4 linked regions of the Coturnix japonica genome follow. The protein of the gene in region 1 purifies or fractionates together with the protein of each later gene. This does not show direct contact. Links are inferred from orthologs where the notes say so. Each region holds a gene or a part of one and is shown in the gene's direction. Other genes may lie near its edges. The genes, in order: NFKB2, FBXW11, FBXW7 and MAP3K14.

Evidence for each region.
Region 2: the proteins of NFKB2 (region 1) and FBXW11 purify together in Homo sapiens (affinity purification with mass spectrometry; 8 studies listed by BioGRID and IntAct, with this or other methods). This does not show direct contact. The link is inferred for Coturnix japonica from reciprocal best matches to the Homo sapiens genes NFKB2 and FBXW11.
Region 3: the proteins of NFKB2 (region 1) and FBXW7 purify together in Homo sapiens (affinity purification with mass spectrometry; 7 studies listed by BioGRID and IntAct, with this or other methods). This does not show direct contact. The link is inferred for Coturnix japonica from reciprocal best matches to the Homo sapiens genes NFKB2 and FBXW7.
Region 4: the proteins of NFKB2 (region 1) and MAP3K14 purify together in Homo sapiens (affinity purification with mass spectrometry; 6 studies listed by BioGRID and IntAct, with this or other methods). This does not show direct contact. The link is inferred for Coturnix japonica from reciprocal best matches to the Homo sapiens genes NFKB2 and MAP3K14.

What each region holds. Positions count from the first base shown.
Region 1 is NC_029521.1:14,448,785-14,453,989, forward strand, and holds the start of NFKB2 (nuclear factor NF-kappa-B p100 subunit), read left to right. Parts: upstream 1-1,629; 5' UTR 1,630-1,818; intron 1,819-3,120; exon of another isoform or gene 3,121-3,438; 5' UTR 3,439-3,554; coding exon 3,555-3,599; intron 3,600-4,076; exon of another isoform or gene 4,077-4,192; coding exon of another isoform or gene 4,193-4,213; intron 4,214-4,451; coding exon 4,452-4,530; intron 4,531-4,698; coding exon 4,699-4,739; intron 4,740-4,838; coding exon 4,839-4,937; intron 4,938-5,062; coding exon 5,063-5,205. Other genes in the region: TMEM150A (transmembrane protein 150A), read left to right, coding at 1-76, 156-333, 845-1,068. UniProt on the Homo sapiens protein: NF-kappa-B is a pleiotropic transcription factor present in almost all cell types and is the endpoint of a series of signal transduction events that are initiated by a vast array of stimuli related to many biological processes such as inflammation, immunity, differentiation, cell growth, tumorigenesis and apoptosis.
Region 2 is NC_029528.1:13,887,799-13,892,339, reverse strand, and holds part of FBXW11 (F-box/WD repeat-containing protein 11), read left to right. Parts: intron 1-91; coding exon 92-170; intron 171-625; coding exon 626-787; 3' UTR 788-814; intron 815-2,326; 3' UTR 2,327-4,541.
Region 3 is NC_029519.1:29,877,256-29,882,551, reverse strand, and holds the start of FBXW7 (F-box/WD repeat-containing protein 7), read left to right. Parts: upstream 1-1,931; 5' UTR 1,932-2,032; exon of another isoform or gene 2,033-2,036; intron 2,037-5,296. UniProt on the Homo sapiens protein: Substrate recognition component of a SCF (SKP1-CUL1-F-box protein) E3 ubiquitin-protein ligase complex which mediates the ubiquitination and subsequent proteasomal degradation of target proteins.
Region 4 is NC_029542.1:891,938-897,004, reverse strand, and holds the start of MAP3K14 (mitogen-activated protein kinase kinase kinase 14), read left to right. Parts: upstream 1-1,889; 5' UTR 1,890-2,011; intron 2,012-2,259; exon of another isoform or gene 2,260-3,988; intron 3,989-4,854; 5' UTR 4,855-4,872; coding exon 4,873-5,067.

The sequences.
Region 1 (5,205 bases):
ATCGCTTCTCAACACCCTGGGGCTGGCTGCAGGCTGGCTCTGTGCTGCTGGGCTCACCATGGTGGGCAACTTCCAGGTAAGGCTGCGGGGTGGGAGTGAGCCAGGCTGGGATGGGGGACATGGAACATGACACTGTGCCCACACTGTGCCCACAGGTGGACCACGCCAAGGTGCTGCACTACATTGGGGCGGGGGTGGCCTTCCCCACCAGCATGCTGTTCGTCTTCCTGCAGTCCGTCCTCACGTACCGTGCAGCCAAGACCCACGGGCACTACTGGACAGGCCACCTGCGCAGCATCCTCACCGCCGTGGCCTTCGTCACACTCATCTTCAGTATCCTTCTCCTGGCCATTTGGGCCCAGGTGAGGCCAGGCTCCAGCCTGATGCCGTGTGGTCTGGGGGTATGGCAGCCTGGCAGGGCTCCAGCCCTGTGCTGGGTGGAGTGGGGAACGAGCTGTTTGTATTAACAGGTATTTTGAGCCCTTGGTAATGCACATCCTGAATTAGCTATAGCAGTGCCCTGACAGAGCTGAGGCTGACCCAAGCGGAGCACAGAAGCACTTTGTGCAGGTGCCCAGCACAGGAAAACCACAGCAGCCTGCAGGCAGGGCACGGCCCTTGGTCCACACTGGGGCTGCAGACTGTGCAGCCCTGTGCAGGGGCAGTGCTGTGATGCAGGGCTGTACAGGGGCTGGGAATGGGTTGGGGAGCAGTGCAGGTGGCAGGGGTTGGAGGGGACTAAGGGGTGGGTTTAGTTTTGAGGTGGTGGGATTGCTGCAGAGGGCGCTGTACTCTGTGTGTACCTGGGATGTGGCCATACTTTCCTTGACCAGCGTGTCCTCGGGCGGTGTGTTCTTCATCCAGGAGAGTTTTGTTCTGCAGCACGTGGCCGCCCTGTGCGAGTGGGTGTTCATCATTGACGTTCTGGTCTTCTATGGCACCTTCACTTTTGAGTTCGGGGCCATCTCTACAGACACCTTTCTGGTGCTGCTGAGAGCCAGCCGGGCCCCCAAGAGCCACAAAGGGGAGGACAGCCTGCCTGGCGCGGAGGGGCTGCCCATGCTCTGAGCTCCGTGCCACGAGCGTCTCCCACCCTAGTGCCTCTGGGTGTGTGTGTGTGTGTGTGTGTGTGTGTGTGTGTGTGCACATGGTGCTCGGTACCTGCCCTCCCACCTGGGGCTGCAGCCCATGTCCCTGCACAGGGGCTGGCCCTGCCTCCTTTCAGCTGCCGGGTGCAATCAGGATCCACTGCCCAGGCTGTGCCCAGTGGCTTCCCTGGGCTGTCTGTGCCCATTCCACGCTCCTTATAAGCCAGCATGGGAGGCCTTGCAGGTCTGCAGCTGCTTGGGGTCTGCCCAGGGTGAGTGAGTCCTTTGTGGCCTCTGCCGTCCCCTGGGCTCGTGGGAGAGCAACGAGTGTGTGTGTGTGGACATAGAGCTATGTATATGTATATATATATATGTGTACATACACATATTATATAGTTTTTCCTGTCCCTCGAGAGGGGTGGTTGCTGCTGCTGTGCGCGTTGATCAGGTTGTGCTTCCCGACCAGCTCACAATCGGCCTAGAACCCACCGGTACGTGTAGTTAAAGAGGATTTTTTATATATAATATATTAAAAAAAAAAAAAAGAATGAAAGTTACCAACAATGCACGAACCACAACCGAACCAACCGCAGCCCCGCAGGCCCCCACGGGCCGGCTGCGCTCCGCCCCGTGTCCCCGTGTCCCTGCGTGCGGGGCGGGCCTGGAAGCCCCGGGAGGCGGAGCCGGGACGGGACTTTCCCGGGGCAGCGGCAGCCGCGAGGGGTCGGGGGTGAGCGGCGGGGCGGACGGGGCGGACGGGAGAAGCTGCGCCGGTCCCGTACTGCGGGGTGGGCAGCGGGGAGATGGGGGGGGTCGGTGCTGGACGGCCGAGCTGCCCCGGGGAAGGTCGCGTGTCTCCCTGCTGAGCGCGGTGGGTGCTGCTGTCGGACGGGGGCCCCGCAGCGCTGCACCAAAGCTGCCTCGGGGGCCGATGCTGCAGCGGACCTGAGGGTAATGCGGGACCAGGAGCGGCTTCTGCGGGCTGTGCGGGCACACGGCAACAGGGCGGACGGGGCTGATCGCTGTGCGGCCGGGGTTTGATCGAACAAACTCGGCTGTTGTGGGAGAACTGCGCTCAGGTGGTTCTGTGCTGGAGGTGGGCAGTGGGCTGAGGGTTTGGTGGCCATAGATGCACATAGCTGCGATGGAACTGAGCCTGGAGCTGTGCAGACAGCACGAGGTTGGGAATTTAGGGCCGTGATTTGTGACTTCAGGCGGCTCCTGGGGAGCAAAATGGCAGAGGAGTGGCCCAGGGTGGGGGCTGCAGCACGGTGTCTGTATGCCAGCGTGGGTCGGAGCACTCCTGCTGTATCCTGTGCTCCTGGAGCACCTTCCCGGGGCTGCTGCACATCCCTGCTGGCAGCCAGACCGACAGACATGGAGCTGTCCTGCCTGCAGGGCCCCAACACAGCAGCTGTCACGGGAGGGAAGAGAACAGCATCTGCACGGGGCAGCAGCAGGCCTGGGCACCTGAGCTGTGGGAAGGCCTGAAGATGTGGGGCAGGAGGGAAGTGGGCTCCCGTGGGGCCATGCAGGGGGAGATTGGGGCCTCTGATGGCTGGGGCTGCTCAGTGCAGAAGGCAGCCCCCTGCCTGAGAGCCGGGCTGAGCTGTGTGGCTTCCAGGAACAAGGAAATGAAGCTGCCCCTGACCCTGCTTACGAGCCAGGTGTTCCAGCTTCTCCTGACACATGGGCGCAGGAAAGGGAAACCTCTGGAGTGAGTCGTGGGCTGGACAGAGGAAAGGGCTGCCCTGTGTTGCACCTTGTTGTGCTGTGTGCTGCAACGAGGGCAGTGCTGAGCAATCTGTGAAAGCCCCTCAGGAAGGGACAGAGAAAGGAGAACTGCTGCATGTGAAGGGCACAGCGGGCCCTTCCCATGGGCCCATTGGGCGTGATGCTGCAGTGCAGGGATACTCTTCTCCTCATTCATCTCTGTGACATCCGTGCCAACAGCTCTGGGGGCTGAGGGTGCAGGGGCAGGATCCCAAGCAGGTGTGGAGCTCCCCACCGGTGCAGGGCCAAGAACGTGCTGTGCTCTCGGGCTCTGGGAGCGGCCCAAGGAATGTCCCCCGGCCCCACACCTGGGCTAAGACACTGCCCGAGCTGCACCTCTGGGCTGGGACACAGGGCAGCCCCTGGAGGCCCAGGGGGCCGGAGAATCTCCTGGAAGAAGCGCTTTGCAGCTTCCGAAGAATATGAGTCACGCACGAGCTGAACAATCCCCTTCCTTCCCCCCGTCTCCCACACACCCAAAATCCCCTTGAGCGGGACCTGCGGCAGCCACTGATTCAGAAAATCGTGGTATGAGGGCACGGCGGACTCAGATCGTTCTTTTTCCTTCCTTGCTCAGTGAGGAGAAGGGATGCGGAGGAAGCGAGTTCACCCCGCGCTGCCCTGACCGTGCCCTCTGCCCGATCTCCGCGGCGATTCCCTGCGGCAAACCCTGACCCGGCGGTGCCCGCGGCGATGCTGGGGCTGGACGGGCTGCTGCGGCCGGCCGCCTCCGGCACGGTAAGCCGGGCTGCGGGTGCGGGGTGGGCCCTGGGAGAGCGGGGAGGAGGGATGGGGAGGCGGCTGGCAGACGGCGGCCGCGGCCCCTCGAAGGGGAGGGAGGTGGCGGGGCCGCCCTTACGCGGGACCCGTCGCGTCCGGGGGAGCCGCTCCGTGCCGTGCCCGGGACGCGCCGCGGGGCAGCGCCGTGAGCCGAGGATGGAGCGTCCCTGCGGGCGCGGGGCCGAGCCCCGGAGGCGCCGTCGGGATTTCCAGCCCTCCCGGGGCTGCCCCCGCGGGGCCCCGCCGCTGAGTGATTGCGATCCTCCCGCTCAGCGCCCAAAACTCCCCGGGTGTTTCGGGAGGGCTGGAAGCGACTCGCCCCGCGCCCGAACAGCCCCGCTTCGCCCCCGCCCCGCTCCGCCCTCCGGCCGCCGGTGGCCGCGGGGCCGTGCCGAGCCGGCGGGGCGGGGCGGGGCGGTGACGCGCGGGGCCGTCATTTCCCGGCTCCGCGGGGTTTCTAGGGACTTTCCGGAGCGCTCTGCCTTCCTGCCGCCGCCGGCCCCGCTCCGCGCCCGCCGTTCCCGCAGGCCGGCGGCCGGCCCCGCAGCGACATGGACGAGCACTTCCAGCCCGTGAGTGCGGCCGGGGGGTCCCGCGGGGCGCCGTCTGTCCGCTCGTGTGCACGCGTGCCGTCCTGTCTGTCCGCCTGTCCGTCCTAATGCTCGGGCTGGGCTCGGCGGACCCCGGGTGGGCGTGAGATGGGCGCTCTGTGTCTGATCCCCCTCGTCCCTGGGAAGTGGGGAGCTACGTGCGGTCTGCTTTCGGCCGGGGGGGTCCAGCCCTGCAGCTCACGCTGCCCTTCCTTCCCAGTGCCTGGATGGAATTGACTACGACGACTTCAGCTTTGGCTCCCACATGGTGGAGCAGAAGGAGCCCCTGATGGAGACAGGTAAGCGCTGTGTCCCCTTGGGTGGCTCGCAGCAGCCCCGTGTTCCCCTGTCCCTGGTGTGGGCTGGCTGGGAGCCCAGCCCTACGCTCCAGAGCAGGGCTGTGCCACCTGGCCCCGCTGTGCCCCATCTGCTGGGGTTCATCAGCGCCTCTTCTCTTGGTCCTCCAGCAGTCGGCCCCTACCTGGTCATCATCGAGCAGCCGAAGCAGGTGAGGGTGGCACTGGGGCGAGAGCAGGCGGAGCTGTCACTGCTGCAGGGCAGGTTCCCATTGCTGCCGTCATGCTGAGCTCTGCTTTGCTTTCCTCAGCGGGGCTTCCGATTTCGGTACGGCTGCGAGGGCCCTTCACACGGGGGGCTGCCAGGAGCCTCCAGCGAGAAGGGGCACAAGACCTATCCCACTGTCAAGGTGAGCACTGCACCGCTTGGCAGTGCACCCAGGGGCCGGGACGATGCTCGGAGGAGGGAGGATGTGAGCCAGGCTCTGAGGAGCCCCAGGTCCGGCTTTGTGCCTCAGCTCCTTCATCCCTGCAGATCTGCAACTACGAGGGGATGGCGCGCATCGAGGTGGACCTGGTGACACACAGCGACCCTCCGCGTGTGCACGCACACAGCCTGGTGGGCAAGCAGTGCAACGAGGCCGGCAACTGCATCGCCGTGGTGGGGCCCAAAGACAT
Region 2 (4,541 bases), on another chromosome or scaffold:
GGAAGATCTGGAATATTCTGTCCATTGCTTTTAGAAGTTTCTGTGCTTACACTTGAAACAATGCTTTTAACCTTCTTATCTTTCTTTATAGCAAAATTAAAGTTTGGGACTTGCAAGCTGCTCTTGACCCCCGTGCCCCAGCAAGTACATTATGCTTGCGTACGTTAGTGGTATGTATAATTAATTAATTAATTTGAGGATTTGAGCAGTGTGTCCTAGGTGAAGCCATGATGTGTACAAAAACTGGGTTAGCAGCAGTGTTGAATGTGAAATGTTATGTAAGATGGAACCCCTGGTGTGGACCGTTATTGCCAGCCAGTCTTTGTAGATCGATGCTTCCTGATAGACTGTGTTAGTCTTAATAATGTCAGCCTCAACATGTGCAGTGGGCCCCTGCAGGGGAGAGGCAGGGCTTATGAGTACTTTATTTGAAAGCTGTGTGTTATGCTGAACAACGTTTATGTATGAAAACTGCTTTTCTTTAGAGTCAAGTGTGATTATAACTAAGGGCTTCTTAAACAGAGCACCAAAATTTTAATACACCATTCTGCATCCAGGTCTGAGTACAAACATAATGAATTGTTATCCTCTTCTTGGCCTCCTAACTGATGTCCATTACTCACAGGAACATTCAGGACGTGTCTTTAGGCTCCAGTTTGATGAATTTCAGATCATTAGTAGTTCCCATGACGATACAATTCTGATTTGGGATTTCTTAAACGTGCCACCCAGTGCCCCAAACGAGACTCGCTCTCCATCTAGAACATACACTTACATCTCCAGATAACAGTCTGCACTTTACTACCCTCAGAAGGTAAGTCTTTGTCTCTTCACATATATAAGTTTATCACTTCACCTGTGTGGCATAGTTGTGTTCTTGTTGCGGAAAGCTTGGTGCCATCACTGGTTGTGTCCCCATACCCTATAGACAGAGATGCTCCCGTTGGCTGCTGTGCCACATGGAGCAATACCTAGGTGAACTTTTACTGTGGAAACTCCGAGGCTTGTTGGAGTTGAATGGTTACTAGTTTTGATTTATGGAAAAGCTATACGTGGTTTGTCTTAAGCGCAAGAGGAATATGTTGGTGACTTATCTTCTTTCTTGCCACCTGTGACCTGCAAGATCTGCTGTCAAGGAGATCAGTGGGTGAAATATGAAGAGCCTTTGGCGGTGTGTTCTTCCTTTCAAATTCTGCACACTTGACAATTTTTAGCAGCTTATGTCTGACTTGTCCTGTGATGCACAACTGAAAACACGCAGGGATATGATCCAAGGAATTGCTAGTGTTGATAAATGACTGTCCCTTAATGATGTTTCCTGTACAGGAGAGATGCTGTGATATCATTTTCTGAAGGGTTTTTCTGAAATCAGAATCCACAAAGCATAAATCTACATACAATTATGGTCAAACAGCTAATATTTCATTATGACACTTAATGAAACAGTTTTATATGCTTTCAAACATTATAGTTTTCTGTGTTTTGAAACAGCCCCGCGCCCTTGGTTTTTTACAAGGCTTGCAATGTTGTGCCTCTTCAAAGCGGATCATTTTTGACAGTCCTGGCAGTTGGCTGTGAGAGTTTTATTGCTTTCTGTTGAATTCCTGTTGTTTATTGTAACATGATAAAAATTGTTACCATATGATAGTCTGATATTCTTATATTAAGCACTAGGTCTTGTGTTAGGGGGAAGGGAAGCCATTGGTTAATGTCTAAAGATGTTTTAACCTTTGGCAATTTCATATCAGAACGGGGTGGTTCACCATAGTCCAGAAAAGTGATTTTAAAAAGTGGCAAGTAGGACTGAAATTTGGGTTTAATTATGCCAAATATTTACATGATGTGACTGGATGGGGGAAACGGAGTCTAAAACTAGTTTTGGTGTGTTGTGTTTTCTTAAAATCCCATTTACTGGAAGTGAAATTTATATCCTGAGCAAAGCTTGTTCCTCTGCAGCATGGGGGGAAGGAAGGTTCCGTTGTCACTCCTTCAATTAAGTGCTCAGCATTTAGCAAGATGAGCAGGTGGTTCAACTTTTAGTTCCCCCAAAGGTATGTAAGAAAGATGCTCAAATGTTCAGAACATATTCTGCAGCAAAGGCAGTGTCCCATGTTCCATCCATCCATCCTTGGAGGAAGGACTTCTAACACAGAATGGTTTAAAGCTGTGTACCTCCTTCACATGATAAGCACTGTACTCCTCACAGGTGTTTTGTAGTTTCAGCCTGGAGTGCCTAAGATGGTGCTTAACCTTCTCCGTATGTCTCCAAAAGGTGCTTTTTGACTTGCGTGTCCTGTGAGTTCAGTTTGTCTTTTGTCTCTTTCAGGGTTTCACAGTCTTGAACTACTGGATTTTGGCTCCTACATGCCTGAAGATGTTGATCGACAGCTAAAGTCAGAATTGGTTCTAGATGCTGTGTAGATGCAAAGCAGCACGATTCTATATCTAAATTTCTTAATCTTTCCTGCTCTCAGTGGTCGTCTTTGAATTTACTACAAATTCACTGACTTCGAGTAGATGAATTTCAGAAGCCTTCCCTTCCCTGCAGTGAGAAATCCAAAGCTTCACATGTATATTGTCCGTAGAACCTGAACTCAGATGGCTTGTTTTTCAGAAATAAATCAGACGTCAAGAAAGGACTTGGCCTAATTTATATTGCTTTGCACTTTTGTCTGACTTTAAAGAAAAAAAACATTCTCCGATGAAATTTGGGTGCCAAACACATACCCAGAATGTACAGAGCTTTGCTTTCAAAGTCATCGCTGTCCTTTAGACTTTGCTCTTATGGCAGATTCAGAGCCTGGTTTGTTTGATAGAGTGTACGTTGGACTCTTAGAAATATTTCTGAATTGCTCAGTAATATTTTTGGATTACAGTTTACTTGTTTCTGCTCCGATAATTTCTTTTAAATTAAAGATTTCCTGTAATTCAGGCTAGGTTATCTAAACTAGTTGTATAGCACCGTCTTTTCCTTTTAACTGTGCTCTGTACGACAGCCGTCCTGCGCTTCCTAATGTTTGGTATAGTAAAAACCTTTCCGTGTGTGCTTGCCTCATTTCAAATACTGTATAAGCATGTAGATATGATGTACATAACAGTGTAACCTCCGGGTGCTGGGAGTCAGGGTTTCCTGGCACTGCACACTAACGCAAGCTGTGGTAGCACTTGGCAGCAGGATGTTCTAACTACTGGCACTGTAGGGGTTAATATGAATTACCTAGACATTTTCTCTGCAAAAAGGAGGTTTTCAGTATTCGTTAGGATTTTTTTAATGGGAACTACGTATTTTAAAATGTAATTTCTAAACTTTTTAAAAATTAAAAAAAACCGAAAAAACAGACAAACCAAGAAGAAGTTTAATTTATGTTCTGTATCTTATATTTTGTGCCGCAGTATTTACAGTTGTCTTTCTTTTACCACCAGTAGGTTCTCACGGCCGCCTGCTGACGTCCTTTAGCATTAGTTTGGCTGCTCAGTGGAGGAGGTGCCATGGGCCAAAGCGAAGTTTATTTATGTTCAGTTTGTAACCCTTCCTCATGGTGGAGGACCCTTCAGGTCAATGCTCTGATCGCCCTGCAGGGTTCCTTACCCGTAGCTCTCAGCTGTAACCATATTGCAGCGTCCTGGTCATGGTTTCTCTTTGTTAGCATGCTTTTATTTGGGAATCTCGGTAGTTCCTTTTTATGTTGTCTCAGCCTCCCCTCTAATTTATGTGCTCACATGAACGCTACTGCATTTCTCTTACATTGGAGTAAGCCGTGGACAGATGCAGACTTGAATATCGTACCTTCGTTAGCTGTGTGTGACTCTGCTGCTGGCTTTTCTTCAGTGCTTCAGTCAATCTCAGCATGGAGTGCTCCCGTTTTCCTGGTGAAGACGTGTGTTGGCACAGGGATGGATCACCACGGATCGTTGTGTGTTTGTGTCCCCTGGCTGCACTCTGTTGGGTTGGAGTTTCTCCTCCGGACCATCAGGAAGGCTGAGGGCTGTCAGGTTCCTGAGTGCAGGGAGGCATCACTTTGTGTCAAACCAGCTCAGAGAAAGTGTGAATCAAGACATTGCCAGGGTGGTACAGCAGAGCATCTGTAAGGTTCTCTCCTCTTCACATTGAGAAGTGTTGGGGTCAGTGTTAAACTCCCATTCACGTGTTACTGCGACGTCTTCCCTTCCCCAAGATGAACCCAACGTGACGAAGTACAGAAGGCTAAAAACGGCTCCTGATGGTGGCAGTGCTGTGTGAAGGTATCTCCCTTCCCCTCCTCGTCTGATAGCTTTAATATCAAATGGTTTAAAATCTGTTGCAGCCCTGAAGACAACCAACCAACCAACAAAGCTATTTGTTCCTGAAGAACGGAGTCCTTTTTTTTTAGGTGCATGTGTAAGATTGAAATTCCTGTTTTTTCCTGGGGAGATGATGGTATTTGAACATGCGGTCTGAACTTCTTTGTGCTTTGTGTAACATAGCAGTGGACTTTTGTGATTGGCACCCAAGGAACTCGGCTCCTGGGATTCACGGTAGAGATCCTGGCCGCACTCTGGAC
Region 3 (5,296 bases), on another chromosome or scaffold:
GCTTAAGGCTGTTCTCTCTCACCCTATCACTGTTACCCTGGAGAAGAGGCTGAACCCCACCTCAGCACAACCTCCTTTCAGGTAGTGACAGAGAGTGATGAGGTCTCCCTTGAGTTTCCTCTTCTTCAAACCTAACAGTTCCAGTTCCTTCAGCCGCTCCTCATAAGACTTGTGCTCCAGACCCCTCACAGGTTTGTTGCCCTTCTCTGGACAAGCTCCAAGACCTTGAGGGGCCCAAAAGGCAGCAGCCATTCCTGGCGCTGGCAGCAGCTCCTGCCTTTGCTGCTCCCAAAGTGCTGCGTCCCTCTTGATCTGCTCTTGAGATGCCGTGGCTCTCAGCCCCCTGCTCTGCCCATTGAAATTCTGCCAGCATCCCATCCTTGGCACCGCTCCCAAAGTCAGCACTGAGAGCATCGCTAGCGTGACTGCTAACAGCTTTAACATGAGGAGGAAAGGAAAACGAGAGAGGAGTTTGGAGACTCGGATAAGCTCAGCCATCTGTTTGTGATACGCGGGAAGAGAAGAATCAGGTAAACAAGGGTATGGCAAGGGATAAAGAAACATCCAGCAAAAGATGACGGGGAGGCAGAAGCAGCTGCTGGAGCGGAGGAGCAGATGGGAAGAAGATAGCAGGCAATTGGAAGGCATTTAGCGTGGTGAGATGGCCTCTGGCCTGGCTGCCTTAAAGGGCAGAGCAGCGTCTGCCTGCACAGCCCTGGGGACAGGCTGACATGGCACACATCAGCACGCAGAGGGTGGGGAATGCCAGGGGTGAGTAGCACAGCCCATATGGAATTTGCTCTTCTGTGTTTTAGGATAACAACACGACCAAGTGCTTTTTTATTGTATTTTTTATTTTTCCCCATATGCTGTGAGACTTTCTGGCGCACGGCCACCTCACACGCTTAAGGAGCAGTTATTAAATCCTTTTATTTTTTGCTACCTTCCATAATGCAGACTAGGTGAACTCGTTAAGGTCCCATATAACGACCGCCCCGTCACAGACGGCAGACACTGCTGGAACTGCTATTGGGCTTGAGATGTAGGGACACGTGCAAGCATTGCTCTGATGACAACTCGCTGACACACGCTGCAGACCGTGGGTCGGTCTCCATAGCAGCGCCAACGCGCGGCCCTCCCGGCGGCGGGGCGGGGGCACGCGCACGTGCAGGCGTGCAAGGCCTTAGCACCTCCCCGCCCACCGCTCCGCGCTCTCTCTGTCTGTGGCTCCGCCCCTCGCGGCGGGAAGGAGGCGCGTCCATCCCGCGCGCAGCCGCCGTGCTCGCTCGGTGCCTCGCGGCGCCGCCTCCTTGTCCCGGGCTGAACCGTGCTGCCGCGGCGCTACCTGCAGGGCTCCACCTTGCCCTCCGAGCGCGTCATCGCCCCGCGCCGCCACGGGGAGAGAGCGGGCGGGGCGTGTTGCCGGGTTACGGCTGTCATCCGCGCGCGCCGCCGCGCTGCTCGCTCGTTCGCTCCCTCTCTCTCTCTCTCCCTCTCTCTCTCTCTCTGTGCTGCCCGCCCGCCCGCTCTCCCCGCCCCCTCTCGCCGCCGCCACCGCGAGCAGCGGACCCCGGGGCGCCCCCCGCGCCGCCCGCACATGCCGCAGAGCGCAGCGGCCGCGTTGCCGCTCCCCGCCGCCCGGCTGGGCCTCTAGCGGCCCCCCCGCCGCTGCAGCCGGGCCCGGAGTGCATGAGAGGGGGAGCGGGCCGGCGGCGGCCCCAGCCACTCGCCTCCCGGCCGGCCGCGGCGGCGGCGCAGCGCCCGGCCCGGGGGGCAGCGAGGGGCGGCGTCGGCCCCATGTGAGGAGGGGCGGCGCCGCTGCCGCCCAGCCAGCCCGGGGCCCGGCCCCGACAGCGCCCCGCCGCAGCGGGGCTGGACGCGGCCGCCCCCGAGAAGCCGCCCGGGGCCCCGCGGCGCCGGCAGCCCCGGGGCGGGGGGCGGCGGCCGGTCCCTTCCTTACCGCCGGGCGGGCGGGCGGGCGGGCGCGCACGGAGGCAGCCGAAGGACAACCCGCAGGAGCACGGCCCGACAAGTGAGTGAGTACCCGGGAGGGGGGGCACCTCTCCGCCGTTCTTTGTGTCCGGCGGCGCGGCGCGGGACGCCGAACAAAGAACGTGGCCGGCGGGAGCGGGGCCGGGCCCGCCTCGTGTGCTCGGGAGGGGGAACCTGCGGCACAACGTGCCCGGTCGCAACGAGCGGCCACCGAGTGCGGTGTGCGTGCCGCGTGCTCGTGCGCTTTTAAAGCCCGAAGTTGGCGCTTTGTGAAGAACTTCTCTACAAGTGATCTGCCCGTGAGGCTGGGGAGCCGCTTCTGGGGCCATCCCGGTCTATGGGGATGGGTTTTGTGGGTTTCTCCTTTTTCCCTTATTTTTTTGCATTTTTGCAGACTATGATTTTCCTCTGAGCGGAAACAACAAGAACCCCCAAAACAAACAAACATAAAACCACCCCAAATCAATAAAAAAGGAAACAAAACCAGAATTGCTGTAGTGGACTGCCTTGTGCTTAACCGGAGAAGATAACATGTAGTTATTCAGTGCAGAAAGCAAGCTCTGTCCATCCCTTCTGAGTTTTGTTCCTCCTGAGTTTACTCTCACACACCGCTGTCTCACCTGGGAGAGCAGCTCAGGTGCTGTTTGTTTGCAGTGTTCAGACACAGGTGCAGGAGCCAGTTCTGCCCAAACTGCTCGTTGTGTGTTTGCCATTGGCCCTGGTTCCTGTCTCCAGCCTGGGAAGCAGAAGGGAATGCAGAGGTAGGCAGTGCCCCACACGTGTGTCGGCTTCTCTTTGAGATGTAACTTTCTGGCAGATGGGAAGAGTCTATTTTAGGCCAAGATATCTCCCTGTCTTAAGCTCCTTGTTGTCATTGCAGTCTTAAAAAGGTGTGTGCCTGTGTGTGGGGGGAAATGAAGTCTCCGTTTAGATGAAGTTTTGCTTTTCTTGCCCCAGGAGCCAGAGGTTGGGAAAGGAGTTTTCCTTCAGGTCACGGTGCTGAAGGGATGGTTGGTGCTTTTGTCCACTGCCTGTAGGAGTCAAAAGACACCGCATCTCCCCCTGCTCTGCTGTGGAGATTACATTTGCTTTTATGTCACTTCCTGGTTTCAAACTTAAATTTGCCCTTTGCTGTTCCGCTGTCCTGTTTCTAATAACATCCCCATGCTGCCTGTTGGCAGCCCCAGAGCGTTCCTGTGGGGGTTCCAGGCACACACATATCTCAAGAGAATATATGGCATCATGCTATTAAAATGTTTTTTTGGGGGGTTTAGGTAACTTTTCCTATTCTAGCTCATATCTAATCAGAGCAATTCTACTAGCATCTGTTGCACTAGCATCTGTTTGGTAGCAGAGATATTCCTTTTCAGAAGGTGCATGAGTTCGGTCTGTATCAGCTTTTTAGAGGGGCTTTAGAAAAAGATGTCATTTATATCTTCAGACTGACTCTCAGATCAAGTTCTTTCTTCCCCCTGCGTATGCATGCTTTACTTTGAAGAAGAACTTCAGTAGGATTTCTTCTCTGAGCTCTCAGGATTGGAACGTGTGTGGTGGTTTAGGCCCGCTGATGTCATTGAACCAAGTTCTGTCTCTTTAAGGAAACCAAGCATCTTTTAGTCAGCGTTAGTCATGTAGTCTGTGTGAAGTTCAGGCTGCTCTTAGCAAATGTGTTTAATCTTTTCACTGTTCCTCTTAAGAACACAGTCACACTGAGTTTACGTGCATCACATTTGAAATGAAAGTGCTGTTAAGCTGAAAAAGCTGAAGTATCTTCAGCTTTCTTTGATGCAAGTTGTGTGTATCAGGTAATTCCTGGAAGAGATGACATGAAATGCTTGTAGTCACTCCTGCCAATACTCTTCTGTGTTAAAAGGACTGTAGCTATTTGCAGAAACTGGGGGGTGAGTCTGCACTAACACATCTCTCATAGTTGCTCGATAGACTGAGGATGCTTACGAGGATTCTACAGACCTGTGTCAGCAGAGATGCGAGATGTTTGTTTGATGAGGGCTTGTACACATGCAAGTTTAGAAATCAGCTGATTGTTAACAAAATTCTTGGTCTTGCGGTTTGGTGGCACAGCCGCTGGTGCTGCTGGAAGCTGTGCTGGCTTAAACCAAAGGCTGGCTGGGCCCGCTGCCCTGCGGTCACCCCTGTGTGAGCAGCAGCGTGCGCTGCTGGCTGCTTTCCTCACGGCACCCTGCCCATGCCTGTCCCCTTGTGGCTTTGGCTGCTTCGTTCTGGGCATCCAGCCTCGTGGTGGCTTGTTCTCATGTGAATGGGGCTTGGAGGGAAGAGGAGATATGGTTTATGTAAGTAAGCGCTTCCACTTGTCAGCCCATATCTCTGAAGTTTATGCTTAAAAAATCCCCCGCGCCCTTCTCTTTGAAATAGTGGTTATCTTATGAGAGTTCTACCGAAATTATTCATGATGTCATGTCTTAAGGTATGAGCAGGTATCTTACTCTGTTACTAACTCAACATGTTACCATCAGCTAGAGAGCCTGGTGCTACAGCTTGGCTAGTAAGAGGAGATGTGAAATACTTCTTGTTCAAAACAAATATGTTTAGCTCAGATCATTTTTGCATTGTGAGCTGAGGTGGTTGGCTTCTCACTGAAGGATGAGGAGTCTGCATATATGCTTTTTCACTGGCAGAATACCGATGTGATTTCAGCAGTAAATGTTCAGGTGCAGGTTACCTATGGGAACAAGTTTTGTACTCAGACAGCTGTTCTGCTCCCTTCTGGGTCCCTCCAAGATGGTCAGTGGTGGTCACTGCTGACCAAGCCAGCAAAATTTGTTGAGTTATCTTGATCAACTGTAAATAGGGTTCTGGAATGGAGAGGTGTGGGATGTTCTGTCTGTATGCACTATTGCCAGTTTTGCCTCTAACTTTGGAGTTGTACCAGTATGGTGCATTTTGCAATGCAGTTCACTCACCCTCAGCTTTTGTAATTTTCTTTGAAAAAGAAGAACACAAAAGGCAATTTCTACTTCTTCCTTTAAAAGTGCTTGCCAGATTTAAAACCCCAAATATATTGTTATGATGATGTAAAAAAAGGAGTGTCTTTAGTTCTTTCAGAAATGGTTTGATCTGTTTCTGATTGGTCTCAGGAGGCAGCTTTGTAGCCTCTGATATGAGTCAAGCCTCGTTACCTGTGATAGTCATAGGTGGGGGGTGAATTTAGTTTGTTATTGGCTTGAAATTGGGTACCTGTTTACAGCAAAGGGACAGCTCCAAGGCAGCTGATGTTGAGTAAAGCCTGCTGTTTGGAGATTGGGCAGCTGAAAATGGTCCGAAC
Region 4 (5,067 bases), on another chromosome or scaffold:
AGCGCTGTTCTAAAGAGCACCGACACGACACGACACGACACGACACGATACGACACGATACGACACGACACGACCTCCAGGGAGCCCGAGGGAGCACCAGGTCTGTCCATGCAGCACCACGATGTTCGCCAACCCGGCGTTAAAGCCCTGCACGATGCAGCATCCAAAGCTGCGCCCCACGCGTGGGGGTGGATGTCAGACCCGCCCGTGTGAGCCGGGAAGTGAAACCTTTGGGCCATTTGCTGCCCCGTCCATCCCCGTGTAACGCTGTGACCGCGGTGAGCTGCTCACGGAGGAGCGGATGCAGCCGGTTCATCGCGCACCGTAACAGCGGTTCTCACTCTCGCTCCGTTCGCGTTCGCCCCGAACTTCGATCCCTGCAGCACAACCCGGAGTTGGGCCGCTCCGTCCGTCCCTGCATTGAAAACCCCGCCGCGAGGCAGCGCTTCTCCGTGTTCCCTTTGTGAGCAGCGGACGCTGCGAGTTCTTTGCCGACACCCACGGTCCGAACCAGCTCCGTTATCGCCGGAGGGTCCGTTCGGAGCGGAGGGGGGGGCTGAGTTTGTGACCGTAACGCTGCGCCCAGAGCCGGGACAGCGGGAGAATCCGCCGCAAACCTCAGGCGGCGTCCAGTGTGTGATGGGGATATAATGGGGGTAATAGGGGATATAATGGGGGCACGGGGGATATGGGGACACGGGGAGGGGGATATGGTGAGATATGGAGGGATATAGGGACACGGGGGGGATATGGGGACATCGAAGGTAATGGTGGATATGACACAGGGAGGGGGATATGGGGACACCGGGGGATATGGGGACACGGAGGGAATATGGTGGAATATGGGGACACGGGGGGATCGCGGACACAGATGAGATATGGGGACACGGGGGGATATGGGGGATAGGGGGATATGGGGAGATATGAGGACACGGAGGAGATATGGGAGGATGTGGGGGGACAAGGGGACACTGGGCGGGGATATGGGGACACGGAGGAGATATGGGGGAACAAGGGGACACGGGGGGGATATGGGGACACTGGGGGGATATGGAGGGATATGGGGACACAGAGGGGGACACAGAGGGGAATATGGGGAGACGGAGGAGATATGGGGGGATATAGGATATAGGGGGATAAGGGGGGATATGAGGACACGGAGAAGATATGGGGGGATATGGGGGGACAAGGGGACACGGGAGGTGGATATGGGGACACAGAGGATATGGGGACACGGAGGAGAATATGGGGGATATAGATATAGGGGATAATGGGGGATATGGGGTCACAGGGGTCCTATGGGGGGGGATATGGGGGGACACGGGGGGACACGGGGGGTATATGGGGGGATATGGGGAGATATGGGGAGATATAGGGAGATATGGGGGATATGTGGGGATATGGGCTAGGTGCTGCAGGGCACAAAGGTGGAGCTGCGGGGCACGGGAGCAGTTTGTGCTACACAGCCGGGGGGGGGGGCGGTGCCGCAGCATTATTGGTTCCGTGCCCGTCCCGTTCAGCCCGGCCCGTTCAGCCCGGCCCCTCCTCCCTTCATGGCACCACCCGCCCCTCCCCCTCACACCGACCCGCAGCCCCGCAGCTCCGCCCCGCCCACCGCTCGCTCTGCGCATGCGCGCCCACAAACCGCGCGTGCGCAGTACCACCTGCACGAGGCGGTGGGCGGGGCTGTTCGCCGGAAGCTCCGCCCTTCCGGGAAACCGGCCGGGAGGCGGGGAGGGAATCCTGGGCGGTGATTGGCCGCGGGTCAGATGGGGCGGGGCGAGAGAAAACGAAGGGAGGCGATTGGCTGCGGGGCGGAGCGGGAGGAGAATGGGCGGGGCAAGAGGAGGATCGGAGCGCGGTGATTGGCTGCCAGGCGGATGGGGCGGGACCGGCGGCGCCCGCGCCTGTCAGTGTGAGGGAGCGGCGGGACGGACGGCGGGACGGACGGGGTGTGTGCGGGGCGGGCGGCACCGAAGACCGGAGCGCGGAGGAGCGACGAGATCGGCCGGTACCGGAGGGAGGGAGGGAGGGAGGGAGGGCTGCGGGAACAGGGTCAGCGGGGCAGGGGGCTGGGGTATGCGGGGTGGGCCTGGGGCGGGGCGGGGACGAGGAGCGCCTTACCTCAAGCCGGGCCGGGGCGGGCCGGGCCGGGCCGTGCCGTGCCGTGCCGTTGCCGTGCCGCTGTTCGGGCCGTGCCGCCGTTCGGGCCGGTGCCGCTGTTCAGGCCGTGCCGCCGTTCAGGCCGTGCCGCTGCCCGGTCGTGGCGCTGCCTTTGAATTCCTCGTTGGTGACTCACCCGCTTCGAGCTGTGAAACGCGGCGCGTTGTGGCGGGGCCGAGCTGGGATCGCCGCTTCCCTTGGGCCGCTCCGGGCTCAGCGCGTGTGAAGGGCGGCCCGGCCGGTACCCGGCCCTTATAACGCTGAGGAGCTTCCATGTGTGCTGAGCTGGGCAGAACTTTGGGGTTGTTTGGTGTCTGTAGGTGTGAGTTGGAAGGCTCGGGCTGTGCTGCGGTGTCACAGTGAGCGCTGGGCCCTGCTGACAGCACGGAGCTGGTTCGGATCCACTCGGTGCTGGGGGTGACCCAGCCGGGTGCAGCTGTGTCCCATGGGCTGCAGGGCAGAGTGCTGGCGGTGGGCTCTGAGCTGGGAAAGCTGAGTGCATCAAACACATGGGGACACGCTGCCATTCACATCTCTGCTCATGAAGGGACTCGTGCTGAGGGAAACAGCGACAGATGGTTGGTACATGGAGTTCTGCTCACGGATGTTTCCCTGCAGCTCTTGTGTCCCGGCTGCAGGAGGGCCGGGTGGATACTGGTGCTCTCCATCCCAGGGTAAGCAGAAATAGGAGCTTGCAGTGCTTGCCATCAAACCAGTGGAACAGGAGGTGTCTGTAACAAACCTCACTGACAGCACCGGGAGTCCTGCACAGCTGGAGGGCAATGGGAGCCATCAGGCCATGGGAGCACCATGCAGAGGAGGCAGCACCGTACAGAGGAGGCAGCACAGTGTGAGGAGCAGCCCAGCATTGCACCTCCTGCTCTGGCTGCTGCCCTGCAGCCTGTGCTCCTTCCCAGCCCGGAGCTCCTCGTACCTCCAGGAAGTCTTTTCTCCTCTCTTTGCGTGCGCAGTGTGTGAGTTAAGGACAAGGGGCGTGTGCTGAGCGCTGCAGCTTTCTTTTCTCAATCCCTACTGAGACAAAGCGAAACTTCTCCCTCCCGTCAGCACGGAGCTGCTCTGCGCTGCAGTAACATGCTGTGAGCTGACGCTGCTGGGAACGGAACCGCCTGAGTTTGGGCTGGAGCCCCAACGTGGCAGCCCAGCCTTGTCCTGCTGGAGCTGAGGGCATTGTGTTGTGTTGGTGGAGTCCCCAAGTCAGCGCTGCTCATCGCGCTCTTCTCAATAAGGAAGTGGGAAACCTCATGGAGACGACGTGAAATGTCAACATGAAGCAGCTGCAGCACACTCAGATTGGGAGAGCAGAGCTGTGTGCAATGCAGGACACTGCTGGGGTGGGAAGGGGCAGCGGGGAGCTGCTGGGGGGAAGGTGGAAGGAGCAGGAAGCCCCGCAGCACTGCTCTGTGCCCCGCAGCCCCATGCAGCTCCCAGCGGAAGCCGTCAGCTCTGTGCCGGTGCTGCCGCAGCACAACTGATACCATGTCGGCTTTCGTTCTGTACAACTGCACTTTCTATTTTACAGCAGTGAGAACTGACGTTGGTTAACGGGCTGAGAGCTGCAGCCTTCCTCAACAACCCTTCCCGCTGCCATCCAGGGCCCTGCGTGGATCGGTGCTGCAGCGCTCGCCTTCACTTAGTGCCTCGTTACCTGACCTCTCCTTTTCCTCTGGCAAAGCACGAGCCCGTGCACACATCTGCAGGAGGAAGGAAGGAAGCCAGGGGTACTGAAATCAAGAGTTGAGTCTCAGTGATGTGGATGAGCCAGAGGAGGTTCTGAAAGCAGCAGAGCTGGGACCCGCAGCGCCAGGTGCGCTCAGTGCAGGAGGGCAGGATGGGGGGCACAGCTCACAGCTCACAGCACTTACATTGGAGCATCATGGGGCTCAGTGCTGCGTGGTCCATCCTGAGCTGCTCATCTGCTGCAGCCATTATGTAGAAGTTCTGCATCGGTTCCTTTTCATCACAGCTCCCAGGTGCTCTGAGCTGCACATTGGTTTTGGGGTCCTGTAAAGCCTGCAGGTTGGATGGCAGTGCTTGGAGCTGGCAGCTCCGGAGCCCACAGTGCCCCATCGACCCACATGAGCTTTGTGTGCTGCCCAGTGAGGTTCCCCCTTCAGATTTCACTCCCATCGATGTTCCCGTGCTGCTCCTTTCCTTATCAGGCGGTTGCGGTTCCACATCTCCCCTCCCTCTATTACCTTTTAACCGAGGAGCACCTTGCAGAGCTGCGCGCTCTCAGGGGTGGGCAGGGCTTTGCTCTGCAGCCCCTGAAGGTGAGGAGAGGGCAAGGAGGGACAGAGTTAATGCAGACGGGGCAGCAGTGAGTGTAAAAATAGCTCTGAGCCTGTTGGTGTGCGCTGCAGGCTCACTGTTAGTCATCTGCTGCCGGCTTCTGCTGCTCCGAGGGATTGTTTTACAGCCCTGAGATCTGCCTTGATTTCTGTAGAGAAGGGGCAGGGGTGGCTGTGATGATGGGGTACAGCCCCGCGTGGGAGCTGGTGGGGGTGGGTTTGTCTTGGCTTCCATGCTCAGCGCTGCGTCGAGCCTTGCTTTGCATTGGATCAGTGTTAATGGACGCCGTGGGCAGGCTTCTTTTTCTCCCGAGTGTGGAGCTGCTTTGCCTGGGAGGTGTTATAATGAGTGTTGTGCTTTTATTTTCCCATTCCTCATTAGGGGCTGTGAAGCTGTGAAATGGCAGTGATGGGGATTGTGTGCCATGGAGCTCCCGCTCCGCCCACCAAGCAGCAGCAGGAGCTCAGTGCCACCAAAGGGCTGCACGAGGCCGCCAGCGAGAAGCAAAGCAGCGTTTGCAAAGTGGAGGATTCCAAGAAAGCCATCTTCCACAGCCAGTGGAAAATCCTCAACGACGTCATCACCAAAGGAACA